Linked DNA regions of Elephas maximus indicus. The protein of the gene in region 2 purifies or fractionates together with the protein of the main gene of each other region. This does not show direct contact. Links are inferred from orthologs where the notes say so. Each region holds a gene or a part of one and is shown on either strand. Other genes may lie near its edges.

Evidence for each region.
Region 1: the proteins of DIMT1 (region 2) and HNRNPU purify together in Homo sapiens (affinity purification with mass spectrometry; 3 studies listed by BioGRID and IntAct, with this or other methods). This does not show direct contact. The link is inferred for Elephas maximus indicus from reciprocal best matches to the Homo sapiens genes DIMT1 and HNRNPU.

Annotation. Positions count from the first base shown.
Region 1 is NC_064842.1:19,264,598-19,271,796, reverse strand, and holds the start of HNRNPU (heterogeneous nuclear ribonucleoprotein U), read right to left. Parts: upstream 3,004-7,199; 5' UTR 2,762-3,003; coding exon 2,074-2,761; intron 1,218-2,073; coding exon 1,106-1,217; intron 1,020-1,105; coding exon 946-1,019; intron 1-945. UniProt on the Homo sapiens protein: DNA- and RNA-binding protein involved in several cellular processes such as nuclear chromatin organization, telomere-length regulation, transcription, mRNA alternative splicing and stability, Xist-mediated transcriptional silencing and mitotic cell progression.
Region 2 is NC_064820.1:66,944,634-66,952,087, reverse strand, and holds the start of DIMT1 (probable dimethyladenosine transferase), read left to right. Parts: upstream 1-4,451; 5' UTR 4,452-4,618; coding exon 4,619-4,697; intron 4,698-4,709; exon of another isoform or gene 4,710-4,880; coding exon of another isoform or gene 4,881-4,994; intron 4,995-5,045; coding exon 5,046-5,119; intron 5,120-6,928; coding exon 6,929-7,015; intron 7,016-7,454. UniProt on the Homo sapiens protein: Specifically dimethylates two adjacent adenosines in the loop of a conserved hairpin near the 3'-end of 18S rRNA in the 40S particle.

The DNA.
Region 1 (7,199 bases), on a different chromosome or scaffold from region 2:
TTTAAAAATCTCAATGAGTATCTCAGCTACTTATAAATAGTGTTTAAAAAGAAATCAAGAATTTTACATTTACTCTTGCAAATCTGAATAAATCTACAGGGCATATCTTCAATCTACAGGGCAGGTCACCATCTTACCTGCTTGTACTTCAAGCCATTATTTCCACCCCTTATTCTACTTCTCTGAAAAAGCTTTGTGTTCTATCGAATACTAAACTAACAATTTTTACAATGAAAAAGATAACAAGGCTGACAGCCAAGGCCCATTTAGAGGTTTGCAATACTTCCTTATACTCAATTGCAACCCAACTGGCAAAAGTAGCAGTATTTACAGTGCTGCCATTGATACCATTCGCTGCTGAAGAAACTAGTGGCCCAGTGGTAGCCCACTGCTGCTGCCCAGGTCTTTGGAGGAAATCAACTTATGTTAAAGCAGCAGTTACTGAACTGGAATTGAGAACAAAAGAGCAGTTATTGAAAAAGTATTATTACAATCTTTTGTCAGAATAGGGAATATACTTGTGTGCTAACGGAAAAACCCATTACTAAGTATTCAACTAGCCCAAATAGCTCACTTTACATAATGCTACAAAAAATGTAATTACTTTACCATAGAACCCTATTAGGACAATTCATGGGTAGTCTTACAAGTTTGAATTAACTAATTAGTCAAAAATTGGCATTAATTTTATATTCCTGGTAAAAACTTCCAACTTATATAAAAATTACTAAATCACTAAAACCTGTGAAATTATCAATACAACTGATGCTGTACTAAATGTTTAGCTGCCAGAATCTGAATACAGACCACATCTTACTTATATTTAACAAATTACTTAACCTTACTAAATTTTCTATATTCAACATACAGCACTGTTTTCTAACGTACTGGAACCAAAAATCACCGCATGAGAAAGTGGGCGGGAGGAAAAATAGCTTCACTTACAAGTATCAAGGCAAACCACTGTGTCATCAAAGTGTTCATCTTCTTCTTCAACAGGTGGCTGAGGAGATTTAGCCCTGAAAGAGAAATTGTCTCCTGATACAGCTTTTTCCATCAACGAATGATGAACAGGTGACAATTAAACTCGGTTAGCATCCTCTACCTGCTGTATTTGTTCTCTTCAATGTACTCAAAATATCCACGACCGTGATCTTCCCGAGGTCTTTTAACACCTCTCTTTTTATCTCCGCTTTTCTGTTCTGTTTTGCCGTCTCCTATAATACACGACACCTTATAAGAGGCCAAGGCGCAAAACAAAAAAACCTTTTCTATTTTGAAACGCCAAAAGGCTCGACTCTCCTGTTCTTTTTTAAAAAAAAAAACTTTAAATCGACAAACCAATTGTGAATTTCCAACAACAATCAGTGCAACAGGATTTGAGCTAGTGACGCAGTCTAGACAGCGCTCGTTTTGCCAGTCTACTCCGCGATTTTAGAGACAGCGCAGGGAAAACCTGCGCGGCGCAAGCCGAGAGCCCACGTGTACCCCGAAGAGAGTTCAGGAAGGGGGGAAGGGCCGGGCCTCCGCTCCCGCGGCCTCCCCTCCCCCACCCGGGCCCGCGCTCCTCGGCCGCTTTGTACTGATCTTCCGCCCGGCTCCGCCCGCCGGAAGTGACGTCACGCCAGGCCCCTGCGCTCCTTGCACAATACAGCGGCGAAGAGCCGCCAAAGCGCGCCCGCCCCAGGACCGCGGGCCTCTCCCCTCCCCCCGAGACATGTGCCCGCACCGCGCGCACGCACCGCGGCGGCGCCACCGAGGGCCGACGGGGCTCCCTGCCGCCGCCCGCCCGCTCCTCTCGCCCCCCCACCGGCGGCAGCTGCAGCTCCCGGCTCTCGAGCCACATAATGGAGGCGCTGTCGCCACCGTCACACACACCAAGGCCGAGGCCTCACGGCTAATCCGGGATTCCCCGCACCCCCCCCACCAAGCCAGCCACCAGCAGGCTCCGCGCCTCCCTGGCCCGACGCCCCCGCAGGGCTCCCTCCCCCTGGCGGGGCTCCGGCAGGCCTGGGGCACGGTCCCCACCCGCGCGGGCCTCCCGCCGCGCGCAACGTACAACGCAGCACTCACCCGCCGCCGGAGCCCCGGGGCGACCGCCGCCTCCGCCGCCTTCCGCCTTCTTCTTACCTCCCGCCTGCTGCTGGCCCTGCCTCGACCCGGGCGGCGCCACCGTCACCGCGAACAGCGAGGTGGGGCCGCTGCTCTTCCCCGCGGCCTCCTTGGCGGCCCCGCGCTGCTGCTGGGGCTGTTGCTGCGGCGTCGCCGGCGGTTGCGGCTGCTGCTCCCCGTGCCCGTTTTCGTCGCCCGCGGCTTCCTCCTCGTCTCCGAGCTCATCTTCCCCTTCCTGGAAACCCTGATCGTCGCCGTTCTCGTCTTCCGAGCCGGCCTCCTCCTCCATAGGGCCCGAGTCGGCCGCCCCCGCGGCCCCGTTCTCCTCCCCGAGCTCCATCTGGTCGCCATCCAGGGCGGCGATCCCTTCCTCCTCATCTTCCTCCTCCTCCTCCTCCTCGTCGCCGGCGGTCGCGGCCTCTTGCTCGAGGCCTGCTCCGGAGCGCCCGGCGGAATCCCCGCCCAGATCTAGGCTGCCGTTCCCGGGCTCCATGGCGGGGCGGCCCCCGGCCTCCTCGTCGTCCAGCGCGGCCTGGAGTCGCTCCATGAGTTCGGCCTTGAGGCCCTTGTCGGAAAGGCGCCGCTTCTTGAGCTCCTCTTTCAACTCCGACACCTTCAGCTTTTTTACATTAACAGGCGAGGAACTCATCGTGAGGACCCCGATTCACCGCTAGGTGCTGGCTCAAACTCGGCTCCGCGCACACGGCCACTAGTGGCGGCTGCTGCTGCTGCTCTTCGGCCCGGGCGGCGGCTGCGGCTGCGGCTGGAGGTGGGTTCGTGCTGCAGAGCGGACCCGCCTGGTGTCGAACGGCGCCAATTCCTTTCACCCAGTTCGCGAGGGAGACGCGGAGACTCGCCTGGCGCGAGCGAGCACGCAACGTCCTCTCGCAGGGGCGGCGCCGCGCACGTAATATAGCCGCCCCGCCCCCCCGCTTACGGTAGCGCTGCGCAGTAGGAAAGCCGGAGCGCGCCCGCGCCTTGGCCCCGCCCCATTACCGTACTTACCTCCCCGCCCCCACGCCGAATCCCGGGCCGAGAGCGCGGCGCAGGCCGCGCATTGCGCTTCCAATTGGGACTGAGCAAATGGAGGAAAAGGAAACCGCCTTTCAGTTAAACCGACCTGCTGCAAAACCTATTGGCCTTTCTAATTTTTTAGTGCCGATTTCCGTTTTGCTTTTTGCTTTTCCAGGCCGGAGGCTGCTTGTATCCAAATGTTTTCAGTCCTCAACTTGGCATTTTCAATTCAAATCCCCAACCTTTTTATCCTTCCATCTTAGATTTGCTTTCTTATATATTTCAACCGCTATTTGTTTAAAACTCCAAGTTTTATTTCGGTTTTGATTTGTACAACACAAATGAGCAATTGCTATATGCAGAGTCCCGCCCCCCCACGTCTAATTTTTTGCCTTGCGAATTGAATTTTAAATTCTGAAGGGCGAGGGCAGAGCCTTTCTTTTGTCTTGGTGCAGGCTTGGGAGATAGAAACTTGCTTTAAGAGCGCGGTCTTCTGTAATGTATGGCACACTTCACAGGCCTTTGCATGGGAGCTGTTCTCTTGGTTTTAATAGACACAGAATTTAACAAGTCCGAGAACTGCGTTTCTGAGTTTACCCACCAAAAAGACGGATATTCAACAATACGCTGACCAATTTAGGACCTGGTCATCAGTTATGAAATCCCAGTAGCCAACAATGAGGATGAAACCCAACCAGGTCGTGCACTTTTATTCCTACTGGACTAAAACTGGTCAATCGAATCATGCTGAAACTATAAAAGCTTATGAAAAATAAAGGGCTAAGATTTTGTTTAAAAAATAGACTTTCACTCTCGAAATCTGTTATTCTGTTGTATTTTAGAAATTTAATTTTTCTTTTTATTAAATTAAAGGTGTCACATGTCTTTGAAGTCTTGATAGGGGTACCAGAATTGAGATTTGTGATAGAGATGAACTTCAGAAACCGCAGAAAATCTGCGCAGTGACCAGCCAGTCTTCCATTATCTGACTAAGGAGATCAGTTATGCCAACTGTTAGGTGCTTTAGCTGGCATAAAAATGCGCCAATGTTAATTTGAAATTTGGAAGTATAGAAATGTGTACTTAACTTTCTCCCATAGGCTAGTGTGATTTCACTGATTAATAAATTTTCTTTTAAAAGTTTGTATTTTGGAGCTGTTAAGAAGTATGTACCTCACCATGCATGCACGGCTAAAGATAAAATATTAACATTTGTGAAATGATTTGAGTTGAAATTAATAAACAATGTACAGTACTGGTTATTCTCGTTTCAGGTTAACTGAGGTGGTGGGCATAGCCCCCAAAATAGACTTCCAAATAGTGCCAAAAACTCATTTTAGCCTTTGGTTATAATGTCCTTGAAGCTTATAAAAAAGGTACAAAATAGAATTTGAACTCTTTGTCCTTGTTCAAAAATAGGAAGAGAGCTACAGGAGGCTCACACATTCACACACTAATTAGCCCCTAATGAGTCAGGTAAATACAATTATTCTGGTGGTCTTTAAATTTTTTTTTTTTTTTTTTTAGATATTACTTGCATTTTTAGACATTAGTGATATGAAAACAATTTCCATTTAACTGGAAAAAACTAAATTACAAAAATAAAGTTCATATATCTAAATATAAGATTTATAATAGCCATTCTTGGTAGTAAATCAGTTGTAATAATAAACTATGAACTATACCTTTAAGTGCACACTAAAAGGTCCCCTGGCTTTATCTCCAAGAGGTTTGTAGACTTTTAGAGCTGGATGGAGCCTGGAGATCATCTTTACTCTGCTTATTCTACACACAAGGAAACTGCGGTCCCTGCTCCCACACCAATGCTGTTTCATATCATCGCACAGCCTTAGACAACACTTGAAAGGGTAATAGTTTTTCTAAATGCTCAAAAAAACATCAGCTTACTCTTCCTTTTTTACAAAAGGAAGAAATCTGCCATGAGATGTTTTTATTTTTCCACTGAAAGTACAAATAGTGACTTATTTTACTAATTGTTTTTGCTTCTTATGCTTTTAATACTATCATGATAGACCTGTTCTACAGAGACTAACAAAAGTTCAGGGTTGTTGTTGTTATTCTTCTTAGGTGCCATCGAGTCAGCTCCAACTCATAGCGACCCTCTGCACAACAGAATGAAAAACTGTCTAGTCCTGTGCCATCCTCACAATTGTTGCTATGCTTGAGCCCATTGTTGCAGCCACTGTGTTAATCCATCTCACGAAGGTCTTCCTCTTTTTTGTTGACCTTCTACCAAGCATGATGTCCTTCTCCAGGGACTGATCCTTCCTGATAACATGTCCAAAGTATGTGAGATGTAAGTCTTGCTGTCCTTCCTTCTAAGGAGCACTCTGGTTGTACTTCTTCCAAGACAAATTTGTTCCTTCTTTTGGCAGTTCAAGATATATTCAATATTCTTCATCAGCAACACAATTCAAAGGTGTCCATTCATCTTTGGTCTTCCTTAGCCATTGTCCAACTTTGCCATGCATATGAGGCGTTTGAAAACACCATGGCTTGGGTCAGGCGCACCTTAGTCCTCAAGGTGGCATTTTTGCTTTTTAATGCATTAAAGAGGTCTTTGCAGCAGATTTGCCCAATGCAATGCGTCTTTTGATTTCTTGACTGCTGCTTCCATGGGTGTTGATTGTGGATTCAAGTAAAATGAAATCCTTAACAACCTCAATCTTTTCTCCGTTTATCATGATGTTATTTATTGGTCCAATTGTGAAGACTTTTGTTTTCTTTATGTTGAGGTGCAATCCATACTGAAGGCTGTAGTCTTTGATCTTCATCAGTAAGTGCTTCAAGTCCTCTTCACTTTCAGCAGGCAAGGTTGTGTCACTTGGAGTCTTCCTCCAATCCTGATGCCCCATCCTTCTTCATATTGTTCAGCTTCTTGGATTATTTGCTCAGCACACAGATTGAATAGGTATGGTGAAAGGATACAGCCCTGATATATACCTTTCCTGACTTTAAACCACTCAGTATCCCCTTGTTCTGTTCAAAAGACTGCCTTTTGATCCATGTACAGATTCCTCATGAGCACAATTAAGTGTTCTGGAATTCCCAGTTCTCTGCAATGCTATTCAAAATTTGTTATGATCCACACAGGTGAATGCCTTAGCATAGTCAATAAAACACAGGTAAACATCTTTCTGGTATTCTGTGCTTTCAGCTAGGATCTATCTGACATCCACAATGATATCCCTGTTTCCGCGTCCTCTTCTAAATCTGGTTTGAATTTCTGGCAGTTCTTTGTAGATATGCAGCTGCAACCGCTTTTGAATGATCTTCAGAAAAATTTTGCTTGCATGTGATATTAATGATATTGTTTGATAATTTCCGCATTCGGTTGGATCACCTTTTTTTGGGAATAGGCATAAATATGGATCTCTTCCAGTTGATTGGCCAGGTACCTGTCTTCCAAATTCCTTGGCATAGAGGAGCAAGTGCTTCCAGCGCTGCATCCATTAGTTGAAACATCTCAGTTGGTATTCGGTCAGTTCCCAGAGGCTTGTTTTTCTCCAGTGCCTTCGGTGACATTTGGACTTCTTCCTTCAGTGATCGGTTCCTGATCATATGTTACCCCCTGAATTTCTGAGGGATCTATAAGGAACTTGAAATTCCCTCCTTTTGAAGTCCCAGAGCCTACCAAGAATACAGAGTGGAAGAGGGCACAAATTAACTCTCAGTAGCAAAAAGTGATTATCGAATTATCCATGGATAATAGGTCTATGAGAGGTCATTTCAAAGTTTGGGTGCTCGGAATATATAGCTTACATTTTGAGTTTGAATGAAAGAAAGAAATACAGGCTTTCTCCGCTATCCAAAAGGAGATTGTTCCTATGAAAATCTTTGGTAAGCCAAAACGGCATAAAACAAAGACACAATTACCATTAATTCATACAGGAAAAAATTTTGAGCATTCTCAGACCCAGTACATAACCTACCAAACCATACCAAGTAACCCATAAAACTTAAAACAACGCTGACATATAGTAAAAGCAGAAATGATAACATAAATACGCAGCCTGTATAAAATAAAAATAATGTATGTAGAGTGTAGTAAA
Region 2 (7,454 bases):
TAATCATGGTTGGGTTACTTGCCCTACCAACTTCACAGAGTTTCACTGAAAATCAAATTTTTTTGAAAGCGCTTTGAAAACTGAAAAACACAATATAAAACTAGAATCTATTTTAGAGTTCTCAGTACCATAATACATTTTTTGTTTTGCTAGGTTTGTAAAGTTTGAAAAACATTTTGAAACATATATATTATTTTACGGTAATGATATGAAAACATGCATCTAACAGGTGCTTTTGGAATATTGAGTTATCATTAATATTCACTGACAATGCTTAGACTCATGCTGGTATTAAACAGAGGCTATACTCTTCTTAATTAATTGCACCAATTTAAGATAGTATTTATGATGACCTGAAAAAAAATTAGAACATGTTTATAGAAAAATGTTGCTTATGATATTCAAAATGCATTATTTTTCCCAGCCAAATTTCATTACATTTTTCTGTTAACATTTAGACAGAAGAGTAGAAATTAAGTCTTCCGGTACTCTTTGAAATTGTCCTGCTTTGTAAAGCAGCACATCATTTTAGTATTTAAATAACAATAATGTTTAATTGTTCTAAACAAATCCAATGGCTTGATATTAGATTTCAATTTTATTTTATCTTGCCCAGCTGGATTATATCCCTTAATCATAAAACCCCCTTAATCATAGGAACACGGTATTTCAGTGCTAATGAATTGGTGTTAAAAGTGTGAAATTTAAACATTCTCAATGTTTTTATGACTTTTCAATACATTAAACATCTATAAGGAACTATTTTATATAAGATGCTCACAAAATTTTATTTTTATTCTCTATTACGCCCCTTTTTTAAACTTCAATGTATTTATTACAACATTTGACGCAGCGGGAACTACACTTCCAATCACACTCTGGGTCCGGTTACTTTTCACACTGCCTTTACAATGACCTATATAGTAGCAAAATTTTGCAACTCAAACCGATACATTTTCCTTTGGAAACAAGCCCTGTGGATACTTAGGTCCCATCAAGTTGGGTCAGTGCAGCATACTAATTTCTAGAGGCCTACTACATGCAGAGTTGGTAACTATAGGGGATGAAGGCTTAAAAACAAGATCCTAGGTGAAACTCAAGTTATTTTAACAAAGATTTTTCTTTTAAATATCAAGTTATATCTCAAACACCTCAGTGACAAAAATTTGGCTTACTAAGGAATCTGCTTAATATCTAAACACTTTAGACCACTCAGTTAAGATTAAGGTTACATACACCTTACAACAAACGTTACCTCAATCTGTTCAGTAAGTCAATGTGAAACTAGAAAGGATGGCTCAGGACCAGGCAGTGTTTCATTCTGTTGTGCACAGAGTTGTTATGAGTCGGAACCGACTGACAGCACCTAACAACAACAACGTTACGCTCCTTGGCACATTTAAAATGTTATCATTTCAAGCATGCTGTGAGCTTAAGTAACCCCGTTCTACTAAAGCAAATGCTATTATAATTCTTTTTCAATTTACAATATATTTTACCAAAAAAAAATCTATAAGAATGGCAATGAATTGATTGTGCATACCCAAAGTGAAAAATAAATATTTTTAACTAAAAAGAACACAAACATGAATCATAAAGCCAAAAATTATTTTTCATAATTACAATTTCAAAAACAACTCAAATATATTCCAGTATAAATTTCCAAAGCTCATTTCTTTAATGCAGCTCATATCCCAATAGCACACAATTCCCTTGGACTTGTGGAGCTATGCTGCACCCAATATTGTTTCACTTCTGGAATGCTGCTTTGATACTAACAGAAAAAATAACAATAATAAGATATCTCAGTCACTACACCAATTTCCCTATATTGATGTTGCTGGGTGCAACCCCAGGTTTTGCTTGGTGTGATTTGTTACAGCAAATAAACAAGAGGCCAAGGTGGGAGATTAGAAAGGTACGTTTATTTTGTGGCGCAAGGAAAGGAACAGTCAGTGCTGCCACTTCCAAGAATACTCGTAGTTAGCTTGAGGCGGGGGGCTTTTACAGAGAGCAGACAAGGAAATGTAAATTTATAATAAATATTCAGAATCGATCTTTGAGAAGGTGGCCAGAGCCTGGGGATGACTATGCATTTTTCTTTAGACAAGGATTTGATTCCCTGGGATGGAGGAAGAGGTCAATTTTCCTTCGTTAGCGTGTTAAGTCTCTACACAGAGGCAGGGTGCTTATATGTATTTTGCACTTAATGAGCTACTGTTTTGTTGTCATTAGGTGCCATCGAGTTGTTTCCAACTCATAGTGACCCTATGTACAACAGAAAGAAACACTGCCTGGTCCTGCGCCATTCTCACAATCACTGTTATGCTTGAGCCCATTGTTGCAGCCACTGTATCAATCCATCTTGTTGAGGGTCTTCCTATTTTTGCTGGCCCTCTACTTTACCAAGCATGATGTTCTTCTCTAGGGACTGATCCTTCCTGACAACATGTCCAAAATATGTGAGACGTAGTCTTGCCATCCATGCTTCTAAGAAGCATTCTGGCTATACTTCTTCCAAGACATATTTATTCCTTCATCTGGCAGTCCATGGTATATTCAATATTCTTCACCAATGCCACAATTCAGAGGCATCAATTCTTCTTCAGTCCTCATTATTCATCGTCCAGCTTTCGAATGCATAGGAGGCAATTGAAAACACCATGGCTTGGGTCAGGCGCACCTTAGTCCTCAATGTGACATCTTTGCTTTTCAACATTTTAAAGAGGTCTTTTGCAGCAGATTTGCCCAATGCAATGCGTCTTTTGATTTCCTGACTGCTGCTTCCTTGGGCGTTGATTGTGCATCCAAATAAAATGAAATCCTTGACAACTTCAATCTTTTCTATGTTGATCACGATGTTGCTTATTGGTCCAGTTTCTGAGAATTTTTGTTTTCTTTATGTTGCGGTGTAATCCATACTGAAGGCTGTGGTCTTCAATCTTCATCGGTAAGTGCCCCAAGTCCTCTTAACTTTCTGTAAGCAAGGTGGTGTCATCTGCATAACGCAGGTTGTCAACGAGTCTTCCTCCAATCCTGATGCCCCATTCTTCTTCATATAGTCCAGCTTCTCAGTTTATTTGCTCAGCATACAGATTGAATAGGTATGGTGAAAGGATACAACCCTGACACCTTTCCTGACTTTAAACCACACAGCATCCCCTTGTTCTGTTTGAACAACTGCCTCTTGATCTATGTACAGGTTCTTCATGAGCACAATTAAGTGTTCTGGAATTCCCTTTCTTTGCAATATTATCCATAGCTTATTATAATCCACGAAGTCCAATGCCTTTGCATAGTCAATAAAACACAGGTAAACATCTTTCTGGTATTTTCTGCTTTCAGCCAGGATCCATCTGACATCAACAATGATACCCCTGTTTCCACATCCTAATGGCCTAATCACTTAAAGTGCCAAGATGGTGTTGAAAACCTGTTAAAACCGGTTAGGGCCAGCAGAGATCATTTTATGTTCATCTTTTTATTTCCAGTATTTGACTCACTGCTTGGCACACTGTTGACTCTCCAGAAGTTGTGGAATAAATACATGATTAATGGAATGAAATAGGTAGTTGAAGATGCTACTAGGTTATGAGTTTTTTCCTGATTTAGAATTACCACAAAGAAATGACAGAGTAAAACCAAGGCTTTGAACTTCAGGCAATTAATAGCACAGGGAAGAGTCATAGTAATGATAGGAAGAAACTGTTTCTTAAAGGCAATAGGGTACACTAGAAAAATTAGAAACTAAAAGTCATTACACTGACAGTCAAAACAGATGTGGACTTCATGTTCCTGGAGCTTACAGTCGAGTACAATGTCCTACAGCAATACCCAACGCATACCTAATATCTATTAGTACATTTACAGCATTTTGCACTTTTTTTGGCCTCTCTCTCTCAACGGAACTTTGAGGAAGGCATTTTCTTGTTTAACTTTGAATCCCCAGCATCCAGCAGTGTCTGATACACACCCGGAGCTCAGTAAATGTGTAGGAAATGAATGACGTGACAATAAAGGAAGTAAAGCAACCAGTAGCCCTAGTGAAACAAAAAGCTAATTCCATTCTCAGAGGTCCTTTCCAAAACGCTAGCAGTGTAGAAATTCACCGCTCCAAAGGATCCTGGGTTTTCCACCCCACCGTGTTTTTTGGGGACCTGCGGGGAAACCAGAGGGAAAATACCTGTTTTAAATTCCCGCGATCCCGGAACCTGGCCTGATAAAGCAATCGCGGGCCTAATCGCATATAATTTAAATCTCCACAACGTGGAACTTACACCGCCATCTGCGGTGCTTAAGTGACTCCTGTGGGGTTAGGGACGAGAAACGCCGCCCCTGACTCTAAACTAGACAGCCAATCCAAACTGCCGGAATCGGTGAGGGTAGACTTTCCTCCGGCTCGTGACTACAATTCCCGGCAGCCATTGGGCTCCAAGGTCCGCCCTCTTGCCTGGGGGCGGAGCCCGGGGCTCACCTCGCGGGGTGCTCGCCCTTCCCCCTCGTGGCCAGGAGTGGCGCGTGTGGCGGGGCGTGGCGAGTACCATGTGGTGCCGTGGCTCGGGCTGCCGGCTTTGGTCCTCCTGACCTTCTCGGGCCTCGGAGCCCGCACCCCGCAGAGATGCCGAAAGTCAAGTCGGGGGCGAGCGTCCGGCGCCGGAAGCGGCAGGAACAGCGCCAGGAGCTGAAGAGCACCGGAGGTCCGGGCAGCCGGGAGGGGGTCTGGGCGTGGGCCGGGCGTTCCAGCGGGGCTGATCACACGTTAACCCGAGCCGGGGCCGCTCCCGTGAGCGCGGAAGTCTGGGGCTCCCGGAACGCGGCCGGCTCGCAGGCCCCCACGCCGCCTTCGGCCTTGTCCGCTGAAGGGATGGGCTTAAAGCACTATGTCAGTCCCAGCTCCAAGATCGACGTTTGGTGTCTCTGGTTGTTGCAGAAGTCTTCCCCCATCCCATTCTGCTTTCTGCTTTCTTCTCCAGGACGGTCTAATGTCTAATCAGGTTGGGAAATTAAAGCTATTTTGTGTTTTTTTGTTGTTGTTGTTGTTCCAGGACTCATGTTCAACACTGGGATTGGGCAACACATTTTGAAAAATCCCCTCATTGTTAACAGCATTATCGATAAGGTGGGTGTGAAAGAGGAAAGAGAGTTGAGTTAGTAATTTTGCTTTGAGGAATACTTAAGCGCAGAGAGCATGCCTGCTGTAAATGCTCTGTAAATATTTGTTGAATCGGTGAAGACTTATGTAGGATTCACATGCTGTCTTCTGCATGATGTGCTTCAATCTGTAGGTGTGGGTTTCTTCTGTCCCCAAGTTCTTTTCTTTCTGTAGATTATCCACTTCATTACCAGGACCTTTGTACTTGTTGAATTACAGGTTGCTATTTTTTTTTATTCTTTTTGTCCTAGTCACCAGATGTCACTGTCGGTTTCTGTTTGCTCATTAGGAAGACTGTTCCCCAGAAAAGCTTATGTGGTACAATCCAACGTCATATATAAATTATTTGAAATATGCCTTCTGTATGGGTCATTGGTGACTTCTTTTTGTTATGGATGACTGGGAGCTAGGATGTGAGATATAAGTGGTGCAAATTACTTTTGTGGTTGCAAAGTTTACATTAACTGGGAAGCATCTTGAAGCTATAGAAAGAGCATTACATAGTTCTGTGATCTCATTCTGATCTAGTATCATTTGCAAAATGAGCGTTAGCTGTGATCTCATTCTGATCTAGTATCATTTGCAAAATGAGCGTTAGCCTTGCTTTTTAACCTGTTTTACTCATGGATTCTTGAGCATTTCCTGATGAAAGCTCTGGACCCAGAATATTGCAGCAGTGTACATATACCAGTTTTAAGTACAATTTCTGGGTATTCCTGCATCCCCTGAAATCCATACATGGGTTGAGAATTCCTGGTCCAACACTGTGATTCTCAGGCAAGGTAATCATATACAATCCTTTCCCATTCGAAGTTGTGTAATATGAACAAAGTCAGTGAGAAAGTGCTATAGGAGTCACTTCCAAAGTAGAAAGTGGAATGACAATCCCAGAAAGAACTGCTGTTCTGACTTCTAAAGTTGAAGAGAGGTGTTAGATTTCCACTTACACCGAATGTTTATGAGCTAATTTTGTGAAGCACAAAAATCATGAAGAAAGCTCCTAAAAATGTAGACAAAGATTTCCTGAGAGCTTATAAACAAATATGTTGTTGTTAGGTGCTGTCCAGTCAGTTGAGTCATAGCGACCCAGTGTACAACAGAACGAAACACTGCCCAGTCCTGCACCATCCTCATAGTCATTGCTACATTTCAGCCCATTGTTACAGCCACTGTGTCAGTCTATCTTGTCAAGGGTCTCCCTCTTTTTCACTGACCCTCTGCCTTATCAAGCATGAGGTCCTTCTCCAGGGACCTGTCTCTCCTGATAACATGTCCAAAGTACGTGAGACAAAAGTCTCGCCATCCTTGCTTCTAAGGAGCATTCTGGCTGTACTTCTTCCAAGACAGATTTGTTCATTCTTCTGGTAGTCCATGGTATATTCGATATTCTTTGCCACCGCCATAATTCAAAGGCATTAATTCTTCTTCAGTCTTCCTTATTCATTGTCCAGCTTTCACATGCATATAAGGCGATTGAAAACACCATGGCTTGGGTCAGGCTCACCTTAGTCCTCGAAGTGATGTGTTTGCTTTTTAACACTTTAAAGAGGTCTTTTGCAGCAGATTTGCCCAATGCAGTGTGTCTTTTGATTTTTTGACTACTGCTTCCATGGGTGTTGATTATGGATCCCAATAAAATTAAATCCTTGACAACTTCAGTATTTTCTCTTTTTATCATGATGTTGCTTATTGGTCCAGTTGAGCAAAGATGTTCAGGTGTAAATTAAACTGTGTGTTCAGATGTGCCGGAAGAGCTAATGTTATGCTTGCTTTTAGGCTGCCTTAAGACCAACTGATGTGGTCCTGGAAGTTGGACCTGGGACTGGCAACATGACTGTAAAGTTGTTAGAAAAGGCAAAAAAGGTAAAATGGAAATTGAACATTTTGGTGTCAGAAATGACTAGCAAGCTCAGCTGGCTAACACAGGTGTTTTAATTAATTGTTATTATCTTAATAGTGGAAACCCTGGTGGTGTAGTGGTTAAGTGCTACAGCTGCTAACCAAAAGGATGGCAGTTCGAATCCACCAGGTGCTCCTTGGAAACACTATGGGGTCGCTATGAGTTGGAATCGACTCGATGGCATTGGATTTGGTTTTTTGTTTTTATCTTAATAGTAATCCTTGATTCCTTGCTAGGAACTTTATTGTAGAAAAAATGGGATATACAAGTGAGGAAATGAGAAACTATATTAGGTATTTCAACCCAGGGCATTTAAAATAGAGAACTGATTATATGGTTGTTAGAATACTGAAAAAACAAAATGGGAACCTTGAATAATAATTGCAAAGAGCAGTTAACACC